Saccharomyces cerevisiae S288C: one gene and its partner. The protein of the gene in region 1 binds, or shares a complex with, the protein of each later gene. Each region holds a gene or a part of one and is shown on either strand. Other genes may lie near its edges. The genes, in order: INP2 and MYO2. A codon is read from its position in the direction of its gene.

What was found.
Region 2: the proteins of INP2 (region 1) and MYO2 are in contact, whole or in part, in a crystal structure (PDB 6IXR), measured with the Saccharomyces cerevisiae proteins. Residues at the interface, in NP_013886.1 of Saccharomyces cerevisiae: His532 (codon at 626), Gly533 (codon at 623), Phe534 (codon at 620), His535 (codon at 617), Leu536 (codon at 614), Asp537 (codon at 611), Ile538 (codon at 608), Leu539 (codon at 605), Lys540 (codon at 602); in NP_014971.1 of Saccharomyces cerevisiae: Ile1206, Ile1207, Ser1210, Trp1213, Arg1214, Gly1216, Phe1261, Phe1264, Ala1265, Ser1268, Ile1269, Phe1275, Gly1278, Met1279, Glu1283, Tyr1287, Phe1542, Asp1543, Gln1544, Val1545, Glu1546, Ala1547, Val1565, Val1569.

What each region holds. Positions count from the first base shown.
Region 1 is NC_001145.3:584,170-588,101, forward strand, and holds INP2 (Inp2p), read right to left. Parts: upstream 2,220-3,932; coding exon 102-2,219; downstream 1-101. Other genes in the region: MSS11 (Mss11p), read right to left, coding at 3,105-3,932. UniProt on the Saccharomyces cerevisiae protein: Required for peroxisome inheritance. Acts as the peroxisome-specific receptor for the myosin V motor MYO2.
Region 2 is NC_001147.6:923,469-927,400, reverse strand, and holds the start of MYO2 (myosin 2), read right to left. Parts: upstream 1,681-3,932; coding exon 1-1,680. Other genes in the region: FRT1 (Frt1p), read left to right, coding at 2,361-3,932. UniProt on the Saccharomyces cerevisiae protein: Myosin heavy chain that is required for the cell cycle-regulated transport of various organelles and proteins for their segregation.

The DNA of each region.
Region 1 (3,932 bases):
GGGGTCGAAAATAACCCGGCTGCGCAGCCCGTCATTTGCTTATTTAGAAAATATGATTAAAGTGTAATTAGTTATTTCAAAGTACATATTAAAATATATTATCATGAATCATTTCCTAGTAATCCTTTTAATTCATACAAAAATGGGATAGTTTCTTCCGAAGATACTTTGCATTTGCTGAGAGGCCTGCTCTCAAGAAAGGCATCGTCTCTTAATGGTTTTTGAAAGCCAAACTTTACGGACATGGAAGCCTGAGCTTTTCTTAGCAATTCAAAGGACTTTGCAGTTCTTAGCCTTTCCCTGCCTTCACGGTTTTCTTGAGCCAATTTCAAAATTCTTTCATCTAACTTGCGTCGTAATTCGTTGTCAGAAAGTTGCTTGAAATCTGGTTTCCTACAACTATCCTTTCCGATAAAATCTACGCGGTGATTTTGGCGTGAACCGGCAGAACATTCCTCCTGACAGTCGTAGTCTTCATATTCCTCTAGTTCGGTGTCGTTTTCAAAAGAGTCATTCACCGATTCAGCAACATCAATGAAGTCAACTTTCCTCTCTAAGCTAAGACCTTGTACTGACGAAGAACGGGGTGACTTTCTGCCTTTGAGGATATCCAGATGGAAACCATGGTTGATTGTATTGGTTGGGGATACCTTTTGTATCCTAGAAATATTGCCACAAATTTTCGAGGTTTTCCAGAAAGTAATGAGCTCCTCCAACTTATCCTCAATGATGTTCCTATCATTCTCTGTTATGCCATTTCGAATGTCAATAGCTAATAGATTGTTCTCGATCATTTTTAAGTAATTAAGTGCCTGAAACAATTTATCATTCTTTGAAAATGAACATACATTTGCTCTTTCACAACCAGTATTAGTTGATGTTTCTTCAGGAAATGCATACAATATTTGCTTATGGTCATTCAAAGACACCAGGACAGTGGAGAGTAGTGAATGTAATCCTCTTAATAGACTAACTATATTTTGGAATGTACCTATTGGATTATATTTTTTTTTGAGTTGCACCCTTGCCATGTAATCTGGAAAGATTTTGTTTAGTGCGTTTCTCATGTTTACATTTGAAAGATTTTCGTTTCCTGTCATATCTAAAGACAGCAAACAACAGAGCATAAATTTCTTTAGCAGTTTGAGACGATAAAGCTTACCATCAAGGTCTTTTACTGTGGTAGTATTATTATAGTAAAGATTTGGTACATCGATACCGTATAATTCACAGTATTTCGATAGCTCACTTGTATCGCTAAAGATGACAATATCTGGAATGATTGATTTGAGTTTATAAAACAGTGCATCACTTGAGAATACTAGGAGCTCTTTTATCACAGATGAGTGCTCGTCAGCAATTGAAATAAGAGACACTCTTGATATAAAACTATGATTTTTTATTTCTTTAAATCGAAGATGATATTTATGAATCATTACATCCACTTGTTGTAATGATTCGAGCACTTTCCGTACCTTTAATAAGGTTTTATAGCAAATCAAATGTCTTCGAAAGTATTCTTGCTGAATTGATAAATACACTGCTACGAGTATTAAAATTACAACTCTCTTCAGACCTGGACTATTTTTTTTTCTACAGTATTTTTTCAACTGTGTAAGTACTCGATAAGAGGTTATAATCATCGAAAGGTAGTTGAAATTTTGTCTGAAATATAATTTTTTGTCCTCTGCTACCGCCAATTTACCATATTTTGTCGCCATAAATGGTACAGATTTGGGAGGTACATTCTTTAACAAAGTTGAGCTTTTATGAAAGTTCATAATAGATTGATCAAGATGTAGTGATAACCTGTAATGATTCATATCATTCAAAAAATGAGAAGTAATGATTGAATACCGAAATTCTTCAAAGAATTGGTGTGTTACACCGAATGGCTGTTGCATGAAAATTCTTGAAATAATATCATCCCAATTAAAAAACTTCGTTGTTTTTCCTACGGTTATAGGTGAAAAAGTACAGTCATTAGATCCCACAATTGTAGGGGAGTATTCATGTAATACGCTGCGGCTGCTTAATAGGGACGGTTTTCGCCACGTAGAGTAAAATTCTTGACGATTGTTCTCGGTGACACCTATTATGTTATCACTATCAAGGGTTAGACTAGAACTCATGAATCCATCCTCTTCGCTTGATTTCAGCATGGAAAAAATCTGTAAACCGGGAGCCTGCAAGGCGGATGGACGTGAGTTTGTTGTCATTATTAAGTTAATCAACAAACGTTTCACAAGTAAGTAAAAACAAACTTGTTGCAATAAGCGTGAGGTATGCCGAGCAGTTATTGAGGGGGTGAGATTTTGACCTTTGATAAAACTCCTATAACCGTCTAGTATCCGGTAGTCACCTAATCATTTATGATATTGGGTGAAGATGAATGTTTAGTTTATTTTCAGATCAAGTGTTTTTATTTACGTTTTGATGTTTTCATGCGGGATGTCTTCAAAAAAATGATTTCGCCCAGGATCGAACTGGGGACGTTCTGCGTGTTAAGCAGATGCCATAACCGACTAGACCACGAAACCATAGTAAGTTGGAGAATTCTGTATAAAGAGTATGCTACATTTCTCTAAATATGTTAGGAATTAAATATAAAAATTCCGAAAACTTTGAGGCACCGTCTTTTTAGCTGGCCAGATAGCTTGCTTACCTATTTTCTTGCTAGTTTAAATTCGACCGGAATAGAAATTTGGTTACAAGAACGCTATTGCGCACCAGATGCAAATTTTTTTTTTATTTTATATAGTGTCACTGGCACCCCTCCATTACATTGTCTAATTTAAAATAACTAAACTGATATACTCACTTACTCTAACGATTGACTCCTGCTTGGTCAAAAATATGTATAGATGTTAGACCATCTTTATATGCCATTATTTTGAAAACCTAAGTGAGAAGTAAGTTTCACACTTCATTTGAGAAACGATACACCTGCACTGAACGATGATCCCAAAAATCGTTCCGACAAATACAGACAAACAATTTTCTTAAAGATTCAAATTAGAAACATACTACTCATATGAAAGAAAAGATGCAACGGTTAGTATTGGAAGAATGACGATGAAACACTTTTTGTTGTTTAATAGGTTTTAGCTATCCATTAGATCAGGAGAAAAGTCACCAATGTTAAATATGTCGAATGTTTCTGTATCCATAGAAAAAGAGCCATTTAGTTGTTGCTGCGAGTTACTGTTTTGAACTTTTACGGTACCCTTACCGCCACTGTCCTTTGGAGTGACATTGATGAAGTTTGTAGCAGCTGAATCACCATTTTGTTCCAGTTTCTTAGATTTCATAACTTTCTGAGCTGCAGCAACTTTTCTTGATTCCTTGGTCTTTGTTTTACCCACTCTCTGTTTCCGCTTGGGTTGAATTGTTGTAGTTATATTAGGAGTTGTGCTGGAGCTAGAAGTACATTTTGATGATGGTTGTGATACTGTGGGTGTATTATTACTATTATTATTATTATTATTATTATTATTATTATTATTACTATTATTACTATTATTATTATTATTATTATTGTTGTTGTTGTTATTGTTATTGTTATTGTTAGGCAAAGGAAAGACGGAGGTAGAATCATTTTGTGGTACTGAAGTATTGGTTTTATAATGTTGTGGTAGATGAAATTGTTGTTGCGGAGCGAACGCATGCATTGCGGAAGAAACATTTTGATATAAGGGCTGCATATTGATCATAGGGTTTTGTCCGGATGGATTAGTCTGCCTCATACCTGGATTTTCAATGACAGGAGACCCCATATTTCCTGGTTGTAATGGCATAGTGTTGTTAGCTGGCGCTATACGATTAGTGTCTGGAGGAAAGGCACTATTTTGTAATTGCTGGTTAGCCGCCATTCTTTGCATCATCATATGCATGTACTGCTGTTGAGATGTTATATCACTAACAACCGGATT
Region 2 (3,932 bases), on another chromosome or scaffold:
TTTAGTTTGCCCGAATCTTGGTTTAGAAAATACTTTGTTCGTAGGAGATTTATCCAAAGTTTGATAAAGTTTTTGGGTCCAAGATTCGTCGGAACCAGCAGGTAACCTACTTTCTTCGTCAAGCAGTGATAAAATACCCAACTTGTTTTCAATCAGATCAATACAAGGTTGATTATCATTAAACTCTATAAAAGACCATTCAATTTCTTCTTTAACGTATTCTTCTTGCTCTAATTTGAAAACATGTTGGTTGAACTCTTGTTGTAGTTTTTCGTTGGCATAGTTAATACAAAATTGTTCAAATGAATTTTTTTCAAAATGTTCAAACCCATAAATATCCAGAACACCAATAAATGAGCTAATTTGGTCGTTCACAGCCGGGTTGCATAACACGGTGTTGATATTTTCCACAAGCCAATCGAAAAGGGCGGAATAAATAAACTTAGCCACGGAATCTTTGGCAACCAGAGCTTGACTATAATTTAGATTCGAAACAATTTTCTCTGACCTTGTAATGATCTGCTTTTTGGTGACCCATTTGGCAAAGTTGTAGGCATCAATTCCCAGCAATTCGCACGCCAGTTTCAGGTTTGGCTCATCAGCTGATAGTGATGCATCATTTCTAGTTTTTTTAATTTCTATGTTACCGATATGCAGAAGTGCGGCCAAGATCTTAAATATTTGGTGTTGAGTTTCCTTGGTGATTCCGACTAATGTCAATGCATCTACTGTAATTTTGTATTCTTTGGCATCATCAATACCGTTGATCTTGGTGTCACCGCCTTGGTTCATGTAGAAGTAATCTGAGGCATCGGTAAGATGCAATTCCTCCTTGGTTTGAGCTGGTAATCCAGCCATTAATTGATAAAATATGTGGTAGTTTCTCTCAATTGGCGGCTGGTAAACTAATCTGGACCGTTCCAACAAGTATGTGCGGATCCTTGCTCCAATAATAGATGTGTCCTTATCGAATAAAATTTCTAGATACTTACCAAATCTGGAAGAATTGTCATTTCTGGTAGTCTTAGCATTACCAAATGCTTCCATGATAGGGTTTGTAGCTAGAATCTTTTGTTCTGTTTCCGACATTTCCACTTGATGTTGTACAGTAGCGGAATTTTCCTCTTCTACAGAAGCAAAATAACGCATAATATACTTGGCAGAAACCGTTTTTCCAGCACCAGATTCACCACTTACCACAATGGTTTGATTTTGTTTGTCATTTTTCATCAACCTATACGCTTCTTCGGCAATGGCAAACAAGTGAGGTTCCAGTTCACCTCTGCGCTTTCCCGCATATGCTTGGATCATGTCTTGTGTATAAAGCTGGTCGACACGATCAAAAGGGTTTGTAGCAATCAGAACAATACCCGAGTATGTGTAGATATTCAATTGAGAATAGCGCTGTTTGATGGCATGTAAAACAGCTGGCTCATTCAAGTAAGATAAAGAGGTCAAATCTTCCGTTGCTTCCAAAATGGGAGGGTTTCTAAGAAGCGGTAGAGATTGGTCCTTATCGTTATTCAAGTCTTTTGTGTCCACGGACACGATTTCATCGTCTTCCAATTGTAACTCCAGGTGGTACTTGCCGTCGTTGAACTCATTTTTGATTACTTCCGCCCCAATCCAGCCCAATTCTTTATGGGGATACCAGCATCGTGTACCCACTTCAAAAGACATTATACGCTGTAATATCTGCTGTTTTTATGTCCTATATGTACAATGGTATAAGTATCGCTGTCCAATGGAATGGTGTCGAATAGTACCTTAGAAAACAAAAAACAAGCAAGCAGCCAGAAATCGAACGAATAATTTCAAGCGAGAAAAGTGAAATGACTTTGCGAGACTTTTTTGTTCTCTGATTGGCCTTGCAAAGTTGATAGATCTCTGAAACGCAGGCTACGAATCGTATCAAATGAAGGCGTGTTTGGGATTTCTGATATTTGGCTTTTCGAGAAGCGCGATCATAAACAAAAAAAAGGAAAAAATCACAAAATAGCCCTGGGTCGGGTAATAGTTTTTGCCCTACGTTTTCGTAAATGTGTCACTAGGTGCAATTGCCAATAATTAATTGTAACCTACTCAATATCTATTTTAGCCCTACATACGTTAGGGTCGAAAATCTGTTGGGGTTTTGGTTTTAACAGCGTAAACTAAACCAGATAAGCATCGAGAAACGGCGCTTGGCACATCGTATATCAACAAGACAAACCAGTGACCGGAGTTCTGAGGCGTCTTCGAGCCTATTTATTTATTGATCTGGGTCGGATAGTTCACCCTATTTGTGGAGGAAAAGACCTTCCCATATCTAAATTTTTTTTTTTTTTTGGTTTAAGTTATAGTTGATACATTAAGTGAAAATGAACTTGCTAATTGACCGGATGGAGAATCCCGGATCGAGGAACTGTACCCTGTTACCTCCTTCATTCCCAAGAGGCTTTTGTAAGGGAAGAAGGGCTTCCAGTGGCGACGCAGTGAAGATAAAAGAATCCGGTCTACAGCCGCAGCCGCAGCCGGAACCTCTACAAGCTAAAACAAATGTTGCACACTTTTCGAAATCATCTTCTAGATTACCTGTCATAGCAGTGAATGATAATCCGGTGGTCCCAAGACCAAGCACTGAAGTAAACTTGGGATCGTTGTTACAAAAGGAAAGGGAGAAAGAAAAGGAGGAACAGCCTGCGCTGCATGATAGGAGACATTTATATGTGACAAAGAATAGGGCACATGGGGTACGACAACGTTCATTGGAAATGACTAGCTTACCTGTCCTGGGATCGACCAAAACCGGGAAGTTTAGCGATTTTTTGTTTGAAGATGACATCGATAACAGAGTAGGTCGACACAGTAGATCATATAGTGGGGCATCCAGTTTGGATGATCCATTCAGAGTGTCGCCGAAAACCGACTTCAACTCTAATAGGGCCAGATTGTCTTGCCTTAGTAAAGGACGTCGTGGTTCGATGTCCGTTTTCCAAAGCTGTCATACTGGGCTAGCTTTCAATCAAATACAGGGTTCCTCCTCTTCGCAACGTAGATCATCCGCTGGTTCTTTTGATTATGAGAGGAAACGATTGGTTAACCAATTTTTACAGCCTTCTTTGGGAAATTCAGACCCATTTGATACGTTGAGGGAGTCGGTAGTGTTTGAGCCCTCATCCACCGCTGGCGGCATTAAATTAGGGAATATGCATTCTCAATCACAAATTTCCGTAAACTCCTCCCCCAGCACATCTTTGTTTTATCATGATTTGGACGGTTCTGCTGTCAACGATTCTTCGTCATTTCTGTATTCCCGTTCTAATGTACCAGCATTTTTGTCGTCATCAGCCTTTTCGTCCACGTCATCCACCTCATCAGATTCAGAAGATGTGGATAGAAGAAGTTTAAACGGTGTATATCCCTCTTTAGGATATTTGACTAACCAGAGGAAACCAAGGAATTCATCAGGCTCTTCCACTGCACCTGGCACCGATACCTTGGGATTTAAGTATTTACTGAATAGGCAGAAGTCAGCGGATTCTTCCACTAGGTTCAAGAGTGTACTGAAGGTGAACAATAATAATGGCTCCGCAGCCACTCCTGATTCTAGCTCAAACTCTATTTCGAAGAGCAACTCAAATTTGAATGATAACATTGATGAATTGAATTATTATCAAAATCATATTTCGACACTTCTAGTGAAGATCGAGAATGAGATGAGAAGAAATTTAAACGATACAATAATCAAGAATGAAAACAACGTTCAAAAAACTATCCAAAAGTATGATCTTCTATCAGGAGAGTTAACCCTTTTATTAGACGAAATGACCACCTTGCGAACCACGGTGATTAATCAATTCTTGGTCAAGTTGAAATCAGACTTTGACGAGGATGACAATAAGGCGTTTATTAATGAATTAAAGATATCAGTCGAAGAAAGTGTAGCGCAA